5 linked regions of the Ovis aries genome follow. The protein of the gene in region 4 interacts with the protein of the main gene of each other region in a biochemical or structural test. Links are inferred from orthologs where the notes say so. Each region holds a gene or a part of one and is shown on either strand. Other genes may lie near its edges.

What was found.
Region 1: the proteins of HTT (region 4) and PACSIN1 form a complex in vitro, tested with the Homo sapiens proteins (2 studies listed by BioGRID and IntAct). The link is inferred for Ovis aries from reciprocal best matches to the Homo sapiens genes HTT and PACSIN1.
Region 2: the proteins of HTT (region 4) and SP1 form a complex in vitro, tested with the Homo sapiens proteins (2 studies listed by BioGRID). The link is inferred for Ovis aries from reciprocal best matches to the Homo sapiens genes HTT and SP1.
Region 3: the proteins of HTT (region 4) and HIP1 form a complex in vitro, tested with the Homo sapiens proteins (2 studies listed by BioGRID). The link is inferred for Ovis aries from reciprocal best matches to the Homo sapiens genes HTT and HIP1.
Region 5: the proteins of HTT (region 4) and PRPF40A form a complex in vitro, tested with the Homo sapiens proteins (2 studies listed by BioGRID and IntAct, with this or other methods). The link is inferred for Ovis aries from reciprocal best matches to the Homo sapiens genes HTT and PRPF40A.

The regions. Positions count from the first base shown.
Region 1 is NC_056073.1:8,655,017-8,658,989, reverse strand, and holds the start of PACSIN1 (protein kinase C and casein kinase substrate in neurons protein 1), read right to left. Parts: upstream 2,803-3,973; 5' UTR 2,644-2,802; intron 1-2,643. UniProt on the Homo sapiens protein: Plays a role in the reorganization of the microtubule cytoskeleton via its interaction with MAPT; this decreases microtubule stability and inhibits MAPT-induced microtubule polymerization.
Region 2 is NC_056056.1:133,094,306-133,097,820, forward strand, and holds part of SP1 (transcription factor Sp1), read right to left. Parts: intron 1,871-3,515; coding exon 1,671-1,870; intron 1,274-1,670; coding exon 960-1,273; 3' UTR 1-959. UniProt on the Homo sapiens protein: Transcription factor that can activate or repress transcription in response to physiological and pathological stimuli.
Region 3 is NC_056077.1:34,461,034-34,464,992, forward strand, and holds the start of HIP1 (huntingtin-interacting protein 1), read right to left. Parts: upstream 2,801-3,959; 5' UTR 2,780-2,800; coding exon 2,660-2,779; intron 2,085-2,659; exon of another isoform or gene 1-2,084. UniProt on the Homo sapiens protein: Plays a role in clathrin-mediated endocytosis and trafficking. Involved in regulating AMPA receptor trafficking in the central nervous system in an NMDA-dependent manner. Regulates presynaptic nerve terminal activity.
Region 4 is NC_056059.1:116,338,652-116,342,166, forward strand, and holds part of HTT (huntingtin), read right to left. Parts: coding exon 3,478-3,515; coding exon of another isoform or gene 3,380-3,477; intron 2,545-3,379; coding exon 2,449-2,544; intron 2,051-2,448; coding exon 1,863-2,050; intron 732-1,862; coding exon 605-731; intron 1-604.
Region 5 is NC_056055.1:156,941,819-156,945,333, reverse strand, and holds part of PRPF40A (pre-mRNA-processing factor 40 homolog A), read right to left. Parts: intron 3,304-3,515; coding exon 3,250-3,303; intron 1,648-3,249; coding exon 1,623-1,647; intron 965-1,622; coding exon 593-964; intron 1-592.

The sequences.
Region 1 (3,973 bases), on a different chromosome or scaffold from region 4:
TGCAGGTGAGAGGAGGGTGGTTTATTTGAGGAACTGAAAGCAGTTCAGAGCAGCTGGAGGGCAGAGGATGGAGAGGAAGCCCAGGCCCGGAGAGGGCAGCGGGGCCACGGGAGGGAGACTGCGCTCTGTCCTCAAAGAAACAGGGAGCCGTCGACGGACGCAGAGCAGGGGAGGGACAGACTCAGGTGGGCGTCCTATAAACATCTCTGCCTGCCACACAGCAGGAGCTCAAAGAGTTTTCATCTTGAGCCTCTGAAACCATTACAGTCCCACCTAATCAAGCACACACTATCTGCCACGTGGGAGTACCTAAAACCTGTGTCTCCATGGAGACACAGCCCCAGCCCCAAGGTCCACAGCCCTCCTGCTCTTGCGTTAGGGAATACGTTAGGGAATAACGGACTCTGGAGCCTCGGTTCAAATCCAAGCTCCTCCGGTTTCAAACCATGTAACCTTGGACAGATGACCTCTCAGTGCCTCAGTCTCCTCATGTGTAAAATGGGGATAATAACAGCATCCAATTGGGTTGAAGTGAAGGTTGAGTGACTCAGTACAGAAAAAGTGGCTGCCTCCTGGCTCCTGGCAGATGCTGTACACTGCTGGTTTCTACTGTTTTTTCTGCATCCCTGGGCCAACCACTTGCAGGCACTAACCAAACTATCCCCCATATCCTCTCCCAGCCCTGAACATCGCACCCTTCCTTTCTCCATCACTGGGGGTGGGACAGAACCAGACGCGATTGAGGACAACCCACTGACCTGGGCCTGGGGCCTCGCCCCAGCTCCCTCGAGTGCCGTGGACAGAACACTGGACTTGGAGCCAGGAACTGTGTCCTGGGCTGGGCTCTGCTGCTGACCCTCAGACTCCCGCTCTGTGAGATGATGGCAAGGACATCTCGCTGTCTTATCAGCATGGCTATCAAAGGAGCAACGAGGGCTGCAGACGCCCTGAGAATGACCATGTCACAGGCACGGCCTTGCGGCTGGACCAGAGCTCGTGCTGGCAGCGTCCTCCTCTGGCCTACACTGGCTCCTCCACACAATCGTCAGATCTGTTCAGAGCTCGCTGTGAGGACCCCAGAGGCTGAGCATGGCCTGCCTCGAGCCTTCCCAGATGCCCTGATGCTGTCCGGGACCCTTCTAAGGGCTGGGACAGAGACAGAGAACCTGGTATGGGCTCAGTACCCTGGGAGGCAAGTGCCAACCCAGAGGCTTGAGGCAAGTCAGACCTTCACCAGGGCCTTCCAGCAAGCCTGGACCAGCCAGGGACTCAAGCCTGGTGCCCAAAAAGACCCTCTAGAGCCATTAGGACCCCAGTATCTATCTCCAAATGCCGTAGCTGCTCATCACCTCTAGGCCAAGGAAGGGCCTGAATGGGAGAGTCTGTTTTCAGTAGCTCTTTGGCCCTGGGGGATGGGAGGAGAGCCCAAGATGGGGTTCACCCCCCTCCTTCAGGGTGCCAGCTATTTCTCAGGGTTCACGTGGATTCATTCACTCATTCCACAAACATGTACTTGGTGCCAGACCCAGGTCAGGTGCAGGGGCAATGACAGATGAATCACACAGACTTCTGTCTTGAAGCACTTCCGGTCTATGGGCCACGGGAGAGGCACAAGGCAGGCTAGGCTGGAGAATGCGGGGCAGGCGGCACGGGTCTCACCTGGGATAGCAGGAAGCTACCTGGAGGAGGGCGCGTGAGTGGCTTATGGACCTGTGATGGGAAGGCCGGGTGGGTGAGGGATGGAACCTCCAAGACCATTGACAGTCCTGTTTGCACCCTCGCCAGGCCAGAGCCAGGACAACGTGAGTTATTTATGGTTGTGCCCAGAGAAAAGCGGGCACATGTGTCACTGCACGTGGGGTGCAGAGCTGGGCGGTAGAGAGTGGGGGGCGGCTCGGGCTTGGAGCTGGGTCGTGGCCAAGCTCTGTGGTTTGCCACTGTGTCCCTCACACCCTGATGACCTTTTAAGCTTTTCAAGGCCTCCCATAAGGCAAAACTAAGGAGGAGAGAGAATTCCAACCGGCAGCAAGTGGCCTGGGGGGTGGGGAAGGGAGCAGGGCCAAACAGACCTTGGCCTCTGCGGTCTGTGCAGGCCATTTATCCTCACCTTCTCCTCCTCTCCCACCTCCCATCTCAGCAGTGGGGAAAGGGGGCAGACAAGACAGAAAAAAATATCTTTCACTGTAAACCAGACAGGACCGAGGGCGGGCATCAGCTGCTGTATTTCTCCCCAGCCAACTCTGGTCCACAAACAGCCTACGCACCAAGCTGGCATCAGCCTACCCACCCTGTTGGGACCGGAACAAGCCAGGCCAGAGCCTCGGATGGGACCTGGGGCCTGGGTCCCACCTTCCCACGGCACCTATTTTCTGCGTTTCCCCCCCCCCCCCCCCCCCCCGCCCCTCGGGTGAAGGCCTCCGCCAGGTCCGTCTCCCAGGGGGCCCAGCTCAGGGACATCCTGACACTGCCCCGGGTGATGCTCAAGAATCCCGGCGCTTGCAAAGCACCCGCGGTCGCACGCTCACCTCTCTGCAGGTAGCTGTCCGATCCTCCCCCCTGTCCGCCTCTGCGCCCGCCCCCAGCACGCACCCCTAGACTGGAGCGCTCCCTCCCTACCCCGTACCCAAGGGCCAGACCTCTCACCTGGGGGCAGGGGCGCCCGGCACCATCGGCGGCGCCGCGGGGCCAAGCGGGGCGTCTGGGGGCCCGGCCTCAAGCCCGGCCGACTTCCCGGGGGGCAAGAGAGCCTGCGCCGCCGCGTCCCTCCGGACCTTGCCCGGGGCTGCGCGAAGGAGGAAGGTCAGAGCCGAGGAGGAGGGGAGGCGGCGGGCGGAGGCGCGCAGATGGGCGCAGATTAGCGAGGCATTTTTAGCGAGCCAATGGCGGCGCGGCGCCGGGCGGAGCGGTGGCTGCGCAGGTGGAGGCGCCGCGCTGCTGAGGCGGCAGCTGCCGGCTTAGGAGGTGCGGGGGGGGCGGGCAGCACCCCCAGCGCCCGGGCCCGCGCCCTGCTCCCCCTCCCAGGGTTGCTCCGCGGCGCCCGGCCGAGGGGCTCTGGCTGCGGCGGGCGGGCGCCGAGAGCGTCTCCCGCGCGCCCTGGTCCTCGGCCCCCTGCGGGAGCCCCGGGGACCCCGGGGCGTCGCTCCCCTCCCCCTCTCCGCCCGTTCCTCACTTTTTTAGGTCTGGAGTCTGTGTGTGTGTGTGTGGCAGGGGGGTGCTCTGGAGTGAGGACACCTCCTCCCCCAGCACCGCACCCATAACCCCCGCACCCCGCACCAGCTTCTTCCAGAAATGCCCAAACTGGCCCCACGGGGAAGTCACCCAGGCCACCTCCTAAGGGGCTCTCTGAGCGACTCGTTGGGACCCCCGATGCACTCTTCCTGTCTTAAACCCTGCACGCTTCCGGAAACCTAAACGCTATGAAGGGCGCTGGGGCAGCTCTCTTCACTGCAGATTTGTAAGCGGCTGTCTTGGATTTATAAGGAGGGTTTATTCAACACCTATCTACTGAGAACCTGCTTCCTGCAGGGCACTGATGAGCGGCTGGACTGTAGCAGAGTACGAAACAGACCAAATTGGGGTTAGGGGGATAAATTGGGAGACTGCGATGGACATATGCACACTGCTGTGAATAAAACAGAGAGCTAATAAGCATCCAGTGTAGAGCACAGGACTGGGATGTCCACATCACACCACTATATAAAAAATAGAGAGCTAATAAGCTTCCAGTGTGGAGCACAGGGAAGTCTACTCAATACTCTCTAATGCCCTGTATGGGAATAGAGTATGTATATGTAATGGGAATATGTATTTGTATGGCTGATTCACTTTGCTGTACAGCAGAAACTAACACACCATTGTAAATCAACTATACTCCAATAAAAGTTAATTTAAATTAATTTATTTCTTAAAAAAAACGCTAACCATAAAAAAAAAACACACATAGACAAAATCTCTGCCCTCAGGTGCTCATGTT
Region 2 (3,515 bases), on a different chromosome or scaffold from region 4:
GATTCCTGATGCTTAGAGCAGCTAATGAAGAGAGAGGTGCCTTTGACTCTCCAGCACCAAAAGGGTGCCTGCGTCAGTAGTATTTTGAACACTCTCTTCACAGCTACCTCAAGCATTCGCCTGAGCTTCAAGGCTTCTCCATTCTGCTGCTGGGACTAAGGACTTTATAAAAACATGACAGAAGTGCCTCATCCAGGGACCACTACCAAAAACAAAACATGAAGTGATCAGGTGAGAGAAGGGGAGACAGAAAGGGTTGAGTCAGGGAAAGAGTGCAAGAAGCTGATCCCAAATTAAAAGACAAAATTAAGAAAAGGAAAACATTATCTATGTATATATAAACTAAAAGCAGAGCATATAAATGCTTAATCTGGTGGGAAGCCAAGACAACATCTATAGAAAATCTTGATGTGTCACAACAAGGCTCAGCCATAAGGAAATAAGGCAATATAAAAAAATGACCAAGGTATTTTGGTCACCGAATGGTCTCCTTCCTCCTCCCAGCCAACCCCTGCAAATGCATCTCTATATATCTTTTATATATATATATATAATATAGAATCTGTTTTTGTTAAAAAGTATTTCAATGATCATATATATTTATCAAGGCATGATGGCTTTAGGAAAGGGGGGGATCCATCATGGGGGAGCTGAGAAGGGAAATGCAGGAAGGGGAGGCTGGGGTAAGAAGTGTTCAGAAACTGTTTGGGGTCAAACAAATGCTCATCAAAGGTGGCACCAACAGAATTTTCACTATGTTTCCCACTTTAAGAAGGTACTGATGACACAGGTGGGTGCCAGGACCCCATCTCTTCTGTGTCCCACCCCCAATTCTTCCCACCACCACGCATTTCAATGCCTCACGGCTCACTCTCCCACGCGTCTCTTGGACCCATGCTACCTTGCATCCCAGGGTTGACGGGTATGGCCCATACGTCTCTGGCCCCAGGTGCCTGACCTCAGAAGCCATTGCCACTGATATTGATGGACTGCAGATCTGCCACCTGCATGACATTGATGCCACTGTTGGCAAGACGGGCAATACCCTCCGGACAAATGGCCTCCATGGCTACCATGTTGGTGGTAATAAGGGCTGAAGGGGTGGCAGTACCACTGCCTTCTGAACCTGCCCCACTGTCCAGGGGCAAAGTGCCCACACTCAGGGCTACACCCGGGCCTCCCTTCTTATTCTGGTGGGTCTTGATATGCTTTGACAGGTGGTCACTCCTCATGAAGCGCTTGGGACACTCAGGGCAGGCAAATTTCTTCTCACCTAGGTAAAGGAAGAGTAAGAAGATGAGACAATCACATCTTAGGAAGTAGGGATACCTTGTTCAATTCATTCCCTTCAAACTATATAAGGCAGAATAAGACTAATCTTAAAGGTGATTAAAAACAAGAAAATTCTGGTGATTATCTTTTGTCTTTTGGGGGGAAAAAAGAGTAAAGATTAGAGAGTCCTCAGAAAGGAAGAAGTATAGCAGAAAAGTAAGATAGGACCTTCAGAACCCTTATTTCTTAAGGGTTTTCAGATTAACTCCAATGCCATTTATGATCCATACATTCAATTTCAAACATAAGTTGCTCAGAAATTTTAGTTACTTCCGAGGTATATTTTGTCTTTTCATTCTGGTCCATTACTACCTCTCCCTTCCCAAGTTCCCGCTCACCTGTGTGTGTGCGTTTGTGCCTCTGTAACTCATCTGAACGTGTGAAGCGTTTCCCACAGAATGACCAGGTACACATGAAAGGCCTCTCGCCTGTATGCCAGCGCAAGTGTGCCCGTAGGTGTGAGGTCTTGCCATATACTTTGCCACAGCCTTGCATGTGACAAATGTGCTGTTTCTTCTTGCCAGGATCCCCAGAGCCCCTGGAAATGAAAACACAATTATTCTTTGTTCATTTTAGAGACAAAATTAGAGTCATAAAGTACCCACAGTAATTACTGGACCCACTCAAAACTAATCGAAGTTTTTATTTAAAAAAAAAAAAAAAGGAATCTGCCTATCAACTTAGGAGACATAGGTTCGAACCAGTTCCGGGAAGATCCCACATGCCATGGAGCAACTAAGTCCATGTGCCACCACTACTGAGCCTGTGCTCTAGAGCCCAGGGGTTGCAACTACTGAAGTCTGCGGGCCCTACAGCCCGTGCAATGCAACAAGAGAAGCCATTGCAATGAGAAGCCGGTGCACCACAACAAAGAGTAGCCCCCAATCACGACAAAAGAAAGCCCACAGAGCCATAAAGACCTAGTGTAGCTATAAATAAATAAACATCAAAATGTGCACTTAGATATGTACAGTTTACAAAAAGAAAAAAGACTTCTCAACACACACACACAAATGCCTTCATTTTATTTTATTTTATTATTTTTTTCAATTCTTTTTTTTTTTTTCATTTTATTTTTTTAAATTTGTTTATGGCATGCAGGATCTTAGTCCCTGGATCAGGGACCAAACTTGTGCCCCTTGCAGTGAACGTGCAGAGTCTTAACTACTGGACCACAAGGGAATTCCCAAAAGCCTTCACTTTTAATATCAACAGCTAAATCTTTATAGTCAATTCCAATGTGTGATGTCATTTTCAAGGTGACTTGTGAAATCTATGAGGCATTTTCCTGTATTTTTCTGGATGTTAAGTCTCAATACATGCATTTTCCATGGTAGCCACTGTGAATATGGTGATGTGGTGATATTTTTGACTGGGAACTTATTAGTGAACAAAAGGTCTCTCCATTAAGCATTTGGTGGAGAACTTTAAAACATAATATTTTACAACTACAAAGCTTTCCCTTCTCCAAAATAAAGGTCAAGAGCCAAAAGGTAAAGATTAAAAGCTGAAAAGATAGAGTACTATGAGAGACATCAGTGGAAGAAGATGGGATGGAAAAAAGTTAAAAAGGGGAAAAAAGGACCATAACTAATTCAAGGTATATTTAAAAAAAAAAAAAATTCCCTATATGGAGCAAATCCTAAGCTCCTCTCAGGAAATCAGTTCTGAAATGTTTTTGCCAAACCAATTTGTACCATGTGTGATCCATTAGTGGGCACTATGGAGATTTCCAAAAGAGATTTGCCTTGGGTTTTAACAGCACACATTAGCAGAGGAGCAGAGAAAAAAAACATAACAGAAATGAAATCATACTTAGGTGGAAGTCAGAGAATTTATTTCAAAAACTTAAATCCACTTGAAGCTTTGTGAGAGGGAAACTCTACTGTACTCAAGAGCTTTTTTTCCCCTTTTAATTAAATTTTGGGGGGTGCTATGCAACAGGCAGGATCTTAGTTCCCCGACCAGGGATTGAACCCATGTTCCCTACACTGTAAGTGTGTAATCTTAACCACTGGACCACCTGGGAAGTCCATGTACTTAAGTGTTTTTGATTCGGGTTTTTTCCATAATATAGAGTAACCTACAAAGAATTCAAACTGTTTTTTGTTTTTGTACATTTCTTATTTTTGTGCTTATTTTTTTCTTAAGTTCTTTTTTAAAAAAAAAACGTAATTTCTTTA
Region 3 (3,959 bases), on a different chromosome or scaffold from region 4:
ATGCCTCCAGGTATATTATTTAATCTAGTCTCCCATAATCAACCTGTGAGGTAAGTAGTATCCTTATTTTGCAATAAGGAACCCAAGGCTAAGAAAAGCTGGAAAACTTGCCTGGGACCACAGCCCCTCCATGTGCCTGGCTATCAAATTTCAGCCTCTTCCAGTTCCCATACCAGTGCTCGGCCCAGTACTCAGAAGCCACACAGAGCTGTGGTTAAAGGTTGGGATCACAACATGCTGTCTGACCTTGGGCAAGTTACTTAACTTCTCTGTGCCTCAATTTCCTCCAGATAAAATGTGGTTGATACTCACCTCATAGGTCCTTGTCAATATCACCTCACAGTACTTTACTGAAATTAAAGAAGGTGATACAATAAAGTACTCAGAAAAGTGCCAAACATAATTAGTTACAATCATCCGCCCACCTTCACTGATTCCATGGTCTCTTAACTCATTAAATTTTTTTTATAACTCATGTTCATATGGCTCAGACTGTAAAGAATCTGCCTGCAATGAGGGAGACCAGGGTTCGATCCCTGGGTTGGGAAGATCTCCTGGAGAAGTGAATGGCTGCCCATTCCAGTATTCTTGCCTGGAGAATTCTGTGGACAGAGGAGCCTGGCAGGCTGCAGTCCATGGGGTAGCAAAGATTCAGACACGACTGAGTGACTAACACACACATACATTGGGTAAGTAGTCATTAAACAATACACATTTTTGCAGATTGACTAAGGTGAGGTTTTTAGAATTGTTCTCTTTCCTTTTCTTCACTCTCTTATTGCCCTAATAGTTTCAACAACACAGAAACTCTTTTCCTGATTCATTCTACCTCCCTTACACACACACACACACACACACACACACACACACACACACACACACACGCCACTAGCTCAAATCTGGCCAATTATCAGTGCCCCACAGAATGTAAGATACTGCCTAACACTGACCTAGACTCTCCTTGTTGGGACGTCCCTGGATAGCTAGAGAAACTTTCACAAACCTAATTTCCATCACTATAATGGGTCAAACTCTTATGTGTATTTCTCTATTGCTCCAGTTTTTACTGGAGACTCTAAAAGGAATGAATTACCATTTATTTTCCTTGTCCATTACAAGAAAGATTTACACTGTTTCCTGGAGCAAGAAGCCTTGTGTGCCCAGGCAGCTAGACGAGGGCATAATGCCCATAGCAGACAAGCATCTTCCTTCCTTTCTGGGGTCCAATCCACAGAATTAGAAAATAAAGCTTAAACCCAGCCAGACCCTGGGAGAGAGAAGTAAAGAGCCTTCTCTCCCATCCCGTGTGGGGTAGAATGATGACCTAGGGAGGGGACACTGCCTACTTTACACCACCTGGACACACCTGTGAAGGGCCAGAGGTGCCTGGAAAAAGAAGAGGAATTAGTCTCCTGGGTTTTCATGAAAAGTTTCCTTCTTTGCAAGATTCCCTACATGGAACACTCGATCAGGACCTCACAATCTTTATCTAAAACCCCACTGCCCTTCCTTCACATGGTACTAAGTTTGGGGAGGGCGGTGGGGAGCAGAACAGAACGGGAGAACCAGCTTCTGGCAGCGGAAGCCCCCTGGCTCTTCAAAGGTTTCACTCCGAGAGCAAGAGTGAGCGCGAGTGAGGAACAAACTTGCCCATACAACTTCAGCAGTGGGATTAAAAGAAGTGCTGTGCCCTTCGAAATGGATTTTGCATACAAACCAGCCGATGAACACCATAAACATGTCAGCTTTATTCAGTCCAATCAATACACCAGGCATTAAAACTCTGAGGTAAAAATGGATTGTGGCTTTTTGTTGATGACAGTGAGGAATTTTGGCCCCTAGCCCTGCTCAGGCTGGACAATTTAGGGCAGGCTGCCTATTAGCTGTCAGGCACATTTAGGGGGATGAAATCAAAACCCCGATTCAGGGTTCTGGGCACCCCAGAACAACCCAACTTGACCCGAATCGGGGCCACTGGTCCAGGACCCTCAATATCTGTCCTTGGGCCGGCCCCCTCCTCCAGCCCCCGGTCATCTTCCAAACTCGGCCACACACCGCATTTCCTACATTCCTTCCTCCGGGCTCAGACCCCTTCAGTCCGGTCCTCCGAGGCCGACAGCTGGGGGCTGGCGTGAGCCAAGCTAGAGGCACAAGGAAGGGGATGCTAGGGACGGGGGGAATGTCAACGCAGTCCTGAAGTGATCGAGCGGAGAGTACAGGGCGCCCCAGCCCTCACATTCCCGACTCAGCGCCCCACTCTCTGCAGCCACACTTGCGACCCCCAGCGCCACCCCCCCCCCGCCAGGGACCTTCCCCAGCTAGGGGCACCCCTTCCATTCGGCCCCCTTTTCGCGTTCCTTCCCCTCTCACCGCCCCCGTGACCCCTGCCCTGCCCCGCCGGGACCGGCTCCAGTCGGTCGCACCGCGCGGACCGTGCCAGCTGCTCAGAGCCGCCCTGCCCTCTCCCCCAGGCCAGCCGGGATGGCCCCGGGGTCCCCGACCTTCCCAGACCGCCTTGACCACCGCACCAGATGCCCCCTTGCTCAGTCCTTCCCTGGGCCTGCAAGATCCCTACTCCCTTCGAGTCCCCTCCAGGACACTGCGGGATGCCCCAGCCGTGCACGACCGGGGGTGTCCCCCACCCCGCCCCGGTCCTCACCTGAGTCCGCTCAAAGCTCTCCCGCTCCGCAGCCTCCATCCCCGCGCCAACCCCACGCCGGCTCAGCACCTTCGGCAGGGGGTTGGGGACCTGCTTCATGGAGCTGGCCATCCGGTCCATGTCGCCGCGCGGAGCCGAGTCAGGGGCCCTCAGCCGCCCCGGGATCCCCACGGCGCCGCCCGCCCCTCCCTATCCACTGGGATCCGGCGCTAACGGGAAGGCGCCCGCCTCCCATTGGCTGAGAGCGCTGCTACTCTGCCGAGGCCCCGCCCCAGCCCAGAGGCTTCCCCGTCCGCCCCCGCCCTCTCCAGAGCCCCCGCCCCGGCCCTACCCTGCAGGGCGCTCCGGACCGTCAGGCGCGCCGGGACGGGCCCGGAGGCCTGTCGGTCACCGGCCTCCACCGCCCCTGGCGGGGGCGGGCCTGACCTGCCCTAGCCCGCCCCTTCCCCGACGCCCAGAGCGCGGCTCTCCCAGCCGCTGGCTGCACCCGCGAGCTCCCAGCGAGCCGCACTCTCCCAGTCCCCCCACCCCACCCCGGGCGCCGCGAGGTCCCGGCTTGGTTGGTGGGCGGGGGTCAAGCTGGCGGTGAGTTGGGCCTGCCGCAGGGAATCCGGGCCCGCGTGGGACTGGCCTGTTAACTCTTTTCGGGCCGGAGACAAGAGCGCGCGCGATGGACCAGCTCGGCGGCCCCTGTCCCAGGATGCGCTTGCCCTGAGGCCGGGCCTCCGCAGGTTGGTTCAGCGGGTCGCAGACCTGGCCGGCGTGGGTAGCGGCTCCCACCGCCTTCTCCCTCGTCCTGCCCCTGCCCCGAATCCCTGCCCATCCCTTTTGTAATGTTCGCAGACCAGGGAGCGCTGGGCTGGGTCAGTGGAAACTTCTCGACACCTTTACAAACCTCTCACCCTCTGGATCTGGTCAGGATGTATTCGTTGGTAGAAACCCATGTGGACATTTTAATATTTATCCCCGGCTCTGGGACACCCCTCCCATCCTGCTCCGTCGTCAGCCAAGGTACTGACGACAGGCGTAGGGGGGATGGAAGGGGGTGGAAGTAAGATCCTTAGCCGAGATGCTGAAGAAAGTTAAAAGTTTTCTGTTCAAATGCCAATTTTGATGTTTTAAAAATAAATGCTTTTTGCAACTCAAAGTAAAGAAAGGCGTTACTTTTTTTTTTTTTTTTTTGACTAAGAGCTTTTGATAAAAATTCACACATTCAATAGAGAAGCAGAAGAGGGGGTGGGCCTATGTAGGCACTGGGGAGCCTCTGACGGCTTTGCCAGCTGGCATCGTGTGGATGGGA
Region 4 (3,515 bases):
CAGCGCTCACGCACCAGGCCTACCCCCAGCCACGACACGTGGACGAAGAGGGTAAGCTTCTGCTACGCTGCAGGCAGCAAGGCGGCGTCCTGAGCGAAGCCTGGGGCCCTGCTGCTGACGGGGACGCCGTGCATCAGGGCCCCTTCCGTTTCTAAGGTTGCAGCAGTTGTGGGAAACAGTCGCCACCCTCATGCCATGGACGGCAGAAGCGCAGTCCTAGGGGTCAAAGTGGCCTGCCCTGCCTCATGGAGCACACCGCTCTGCCTGGCACACAGGGGTCAGGGTGGCAGTGATTACAGGTGGCTCCCGCAGGGAACCCCGCACCCTCCAGCCGAGGGGCGGAGACACAGGCTGAACCCGGCTCAGTACCGCCCATCAAGGGGGCACCGCCTGACCTGATCTGAACACGGGGAAAGAAACGCTCTCTCACACACACATGCACACACACTCCGTTACCGTGACAGCTTTGTGTGTATTACAGAACATACGCACACGACTGTGTCCTGCCTCAACTCCTCCCTGGAATAAAAGAAGGCAGATCCCACCACCGCCCCGGCTCCCGGCAGCTGTGTTAGGGCGATGCGCCCACAGGGCCCCGGCCTACCCAGCGTGTTGATGCGGTAGATGAACTCTTTAAAGACCTCCTTCTCCTGGAGGAACTCCACGGGGATCTCAGGGAACACTGTGCCGAAATCCCCGCCCGGTTTGGGTGACCATCCGAGTTTCCATACCTAAGAGGGTGGGAGAGAAACAGTGAAGGCAGGGTGGCCGGACAGGGAGGGCACCTGAAAATGCGCCTTCTCTCCCGACAGCTCCCTGGCTGCAGACACGGTTGAACGGGGGAGCTCTCCGAGTCCAGCGTTGTCGTCCGGCGCTGCTCCAGCGGCAGGAGCCCAGCTCCCAGCCGGCCCCTCGAGGGTGCGAGCCACCAGCCAGGGCTCGCGCTGGGTCCCCGAGTCCGGCCCCTGGTGCAGCAGCTCCAGTGCCTCTGGCACTCTCAGGGAGTTGCGTGGGGTGCAGCACTCGCGCAAGGAGCCTCGCCTACGGGGCGTGGTCTGTGCGGGCCAGACAGCAGGGCCTCCGGACTGTGCCTTCCTGTATCTGCTCCCCACTCCCTCCCAAAGGCTCAACACCTGCGGGGACGGCCCGAGGGTGGCACCAGCTCCCCGGCTCTCCTCCCATTTCCACGGTGACCTCAGGACAGCAGCTGCTGGGCTTTCTCTCAGAAGGAGCCCCCAGTGGGACTTCTTCCCCTCCCACAGCAAAATCCTCTTCAAGCCAAGGGCCTCTCACCTCCTCCGAGCAGCCACTGCAGAATCTCGAGCGCACAGAGGTTGCGCCCCCCGCAGCTGGCGCGCGCCCTCCCCAGGTAGCAACAAGCACCTGCCTCCGGCCCCGGCCCGCCTCCCCCGGACGGCTAAGCCCCACACCCTGCTCATCCAGGCCCTGCCAGTTATCTGGAGCCAGGTCCTTTAACGATGCCCACTGGATCGTGGTTCCAGTTCCGAAGCCAGCTTTGGAAGAGCAGCTGAGCTGCGGCTCTGCCAAACCCCCGGGCCGCCCTGGGGTGACTGCTGACAGGGGTCTAATTTCTGCTCTCCCACTAAACAAACGGGCCTGATGACTGTAGAATCATGCCTGGCGCCTGCTACGTACCTCCTCACCCCGTTTCAGGGCACTCCTACTAACGGCCGAGCTACGTCACGCCCGAGGAACCCGGACGGTCGTCTTGACTGCACACAGGCCCCGTCAGCGGGCATCGGAGCGCTCATGACCTGGCTTCCTGCTCAGGGACCCCCGAGTTGGGGGCCTGCCGAGAGTCTGCCTCGTTTCCGTCCTGCGCCAGGGGAGGGCAGACTCACCAGGGGCGGGACACGCGTGTAGCTGTTGACGAGGGGCAGGCGGGCCAAGCTGATGATGATGTTCCTGAGCACCGGTGTGAGGAACGCGGGCGTGTGGCTGTTCCTCTTGTGGCCCAAGGCCAACACCGACGGCAGGCACTCCACCATCTCGGCCACCATGCCACAGGCTGCAGCGACGTACTGAGGGGCTGAACAGACACCACCGTAAGAGGCCCCTTCTGTTGAAACACACCCCGAACCGCCGCCCCGCCCCCGACCTGCCCAGCCTCGCAGGATGGGAGGCACAGGCCAACCACGCGCCAGAGACGTGACCTGTCGTGGGCGCCTCACGTGGACTCATTTACTTCACCCTCCTGTAGCCCCATCAGCTGAGCGGGACACCCCCGCGGGGAGTGGGGTCACAGAGAGCCAGGCGGCGGAGCATGCCCACAGCGGGGTGGGCAGGGCGCCACCCCCAGCTCCAGGACAAGCAGGATACAGCTGAGGTCGGGTCAAGCGTCCACACCGACCGCGCGGGAGGCCTCTTCCGTGACCGAGTCTCAAGCCCCTGCAGGCGCGGCGGAAGAGGCGTGAGCCTGAGACTCACTCTGTGTGTCTGAGTCCACGCCGTCCTCTCTGGCAGACCTGGGGGCGCTCGTCCTGCTTTCTGGACTAAGAAGCTGGTCCCCGGGCTGCACCACAACTAAGATCACAACAGAACAAACAGAAGCGTTCCAGAGCATGTCGACCACTCCTTTCTGTTCAGATTTTTACATTCGCGCAGCCTTATGAACATTTCCCAAGTGACAGACTAGGTCGAAAGAGGTTGAAATTTCCTAGATTCAACTTGGGACGATTTCAGACCCACTAGACTCGGGTATCAACCTCTGGGTCAGTCTAAAACGCTTCTACACTTGAGTCCCCAGTCCTCCTGCTCGCTGCCACCTCTGACCCTGAGGGCTTTCATCAGGCAGCTCATGATCCATTACTGCTAACAGCATGCCTGGAGCCCCAAGAAGCCTGGCTTTGGTAAATCACTCCCTGGATCCTCGTTTTCATGTTACTACAAATGCACAGATGAAAACAATTTAAACAATGACTCTTCAAAACACCACTCTATATTTAATTTAAAAATACAAAACATCAAGACACCCTCTCACATGTAAACTATAACACCCAATTTTAAAAACATTTTGACTAATGACCCTTGTTAAGGACACTGTCCCTTGAAAAGAATAAGACACTTTTATTTCAAAATTAATACAGTATAGAAACAAGCATTTCGACTATAACAGAAAACAAGGAATTTTTTTGAACGTAATCTTATTAGTCTTATGATGATTTACGACTAAAAGAATGAAACAGTTAACCAGGACCAGAAATCAAAGGGCCATAAATTAGATGCATTTTTTAATGAAAGCTGAAATTCCAAATCTACACAGAAGCAACTAAATTCTAGTGCCGACTCCAGGAGACTGGAGATGAAGGCAAGGCCCGTAAATCCTCCACCTCCTCACTCCCGAGTCCCAACTCAGCACCTGGAGAGCAGGTGGCAAGCGACCACTTGCGACTAGCCCTGTGGCGCTGACCGCCGCTTCAAGGGCCAGATGACAGCACGCCCCCGTCTCAGACTCACTGGCCTCCAGGATGAACCGCACACAGTGGATGAGGGAG
Region 5 (3,515 bases), on a different chromosome or scaffold from region 4:
CACTAAAAATTAAAAAAAGTTTATGAAAAGAGGAAGGGAGATGAAAGCAATAGACTTAAATATTAAGATGGGTGATCATGTTTGGATCTTGATATCATGGTTAATATTTCACATGTGATAACTTTTAAGTCAAGCAGCATAGCTCAAGGTTACTTTTCATAGACACAGAAAGCACAGCTATTGAAATTAGAACCTGTAAACTCAGAGATGCAGCTCTCAGGCTTTATCAAAAAGCTGTACCAATTTAATCCTACTAACAGCTTGCCTATACATTGTTAAGTGTTATCTTGATTTTTCCATATTTGTTCAGTATCAACTTATAGCAACTTCCCTGCAGTGCTGTGCTAAGCCATAACTCAGACTTAAATAGACTCACCCCATCACCAGCACTGCTTTCTAAGCTAAAGTAGAATAGTTTTGCAACACTTTTGAGAGCACGATCCCACAAAAGTAAATCTCAAAAACTGTTATCTAAAGGTATATGTTTTGATTCTCAATTTTTAAACACGTAATGACCATTGACTAAATCAGCAATTTCTTGTTACCAATGATGTCTGTGACTGATTTGCAGAAAACAAGTTACTAGACTTACTCAGCTACAGTTTCCTGCTTAGATGTTTCTTCTCCAGTATTACTAGACACTTCACTTTGATCCTGAACAGAAGGGGTACTAGTAAGTTGTGCTTGTTCTTCAGTAGAAATTGTTACTGTATTTTCATTATCTACAACAGTAGCAACAATCGAAGTAACCTCAGGCTCAGGAACAACTGGAACAGTTCCACTGACAGTACTAGAGGCAGAAGTGGAAGCACTGGCATTGGCTGCAGCAGCAGCTGCTGCGGCTGCGGCTGCGGCTGCAACAACAGCAGCTGCTGCTTCTGCAGCAGCCATGGTGCTCATTGTGGTTGGAATTTCTGTTGTAGGAACTGGGGCTGCTGATGTTGTGGTGCACTCTTCTTGTTTACTATATATTTAAAAAAGAGAAAACTGGTCAGTTCGATACAAATAATTGCAAACACAAATAAAGTCTGTTTTAAATTACTATAAAATCAAATGAATAAGAGAAACTAAAGGGAAAAAGGGCAGTATTGCCAAACTATTAAGCCATCTAAAAAGATTAAAACCACAGTATGAAACAGAATTACTTTAATTTGGCAAACATTTGTGATAACATATAATGCACTGATGCAACAATCTGCATTTCCAAAACCAATAATCATTTTCATTTGCAAAATGTCCAATTAGATTGTATTATGCCTTAAAATTCAATTTATATTGTAAATTTCTTTAAATTTTATTTATTTCACCCACTGAAAGGAAAATCTGGGTAAAGGAAGAGATAGATAAAATATTTCATCTGTTCTCAAATTAACCAAAATCAAATTTTGGACATTTCTGTAATGGTCTTAATTTGGTAAGGATGTAGTCCAAATTCAAATAACTGTCTAGGAGCATCATGTGTGTATCCTGAGTACATCTCTTCCCCTGTCCCAAATCCTCCAAAGATATCAAACTATCAGGTCTACCATGTTAAACACTATGTATACAGACAATTAAAACAAGGATGTTATAGGAGGATGCTGTAAATTTATAAATACGTACTGATGTCCAAAATTGCTTACCTGCTTTCTTCAGCTTTGATCATTGCTATTAAAAAGAAAAAAGGAAAAGTTAAATAAATATTACATAGTTTTTAAATAAAGTCACTGAAAACAACTTTAAAAGGAGATTAAAAGTTCCATACAGTATGATTTAATTTATCAGCCTTTAAAAAAAAAAAAAAACAAAACACTACATTTACAGTGCAAGTGCTCTATAAATTCCAGGACAGAAATTAAAGAATAAAAACAAATTTTAAATTAACAGCAGGTTTTAGGAGAGCTTCTTCCCACAATGCTACCTTCTCAAAGGCTGCTGGCTACTGCAAAAACACTCTTAAAATATCTGCGTAATTCTGAAATAAAACAACATTTTCCTCAGGGATAAAACCATTTGCTTTTCTTTAAGATACTAAATTCAAAATGGGATTGAATGTATGTTATGAAATTCCAGCACATATATACTAGCATTGACAGGTAGATAGATAGTTATGCACACCAACTATTTGTAGTAGGGTTATATCAGAAATGAGCTTGACGTTCCTTACATGAATGAAGTGGGAATCTACCTATCTACAATAGTATTATTAGCCAGTGCTAGTATAGAAATGTAAGTTAAGCTTTAAAGATCTTCACTCAGTATTTCAGATTTCAATCTAGTTAAAGTAAATTTTTCTTTACAGGTAACACAGATATCTCATTTATTCACATTATTAGGAATGAGGTGCTCCATGTAAATGATAATATAAGCTTAACTCCATCGAAGTATTTTTGAAACTTGTCCCCTTTGAAAGGAAATGTGTTTAGAATGGCTGACAAAACATACTGAAGGTGTTATCACTACTAATTCAATTCTCCAGATAAAATGATCATCCAAGCGAATGAGGTAACACAGGGAAAAGTTAAACAGACATAAGAGCACAGTGCCTTTAAGAAATGCTTATTCTCTTTCCTTCAGATGTCATCTTATGTTTCAAACAGTCCCATTCTCCTACAATTTGTTTTTTCTAACCGGATATAGATTATGACACCAGATTCTATTATAAGTCAGAGTAAAAAATAAATTCTCAATTCCTACCCATAATCTATTTTAAGTCCAAGGTTTTTATAGTAGGTAATATTCATAGATTTGCAGGAATGTTCTGAATAGTTGAGGATGCTAGAATATTCTCCTTCTGTCATGCATGGCATTTTAATTTAATTCTGTGATGCATGGCATTTTAATTTAATTCTCCATTAATAAACATAAAGGCTATTTTGCAATGTTGTGGTAAAATAAAATCAGCATTAAATGCAGAGTCTGACAGTATGTTAACAAAATTTAAACTGATAAAAGAGTTCAAGGTTCTCTATCTGCTAAATGAGTTAAGTCACATATTCCATGTATGCACCAACACTCAGAGCTGTCTTTAGAAATATTGTATATGATATCTTTGTTCAATTATCGAATGATGCTTTTGTTTAAAAAAAGAAAGTCCAAGTACAACGTTAAAAATTACAAGCTCATTTATAATATAACCCTTAAATGAAAGGAATTTTTTGAATTAGAAATTTCTCACTGCAGATTTATCCAATTATGGTTAGTGAACATTAGTGACATACTCTAAAAATGTTAAATAATGACAGAAAATGAATTATCAAAGCAGCTCACCATGCAGGTTTGATTTTGTAATAAGACTTCCAGCAACAATGGTATTCTGGTATCCTAGTTTCAGTGGAATCAAATCAAATAAAAATCTATTTAAAATCTATAGAACTGAGATCTAGAGCAACAAGAAAATAAGAGCCCATAAAACTGTTACACCATTTAAAACGTTCTAATCACTTAATTAAAAAAAATAAGGCCTTTGATTGAACAATCCTATTTACGAAGGACTGTGAATAACACACATATATAAAAAGGAACATTAAAAATTA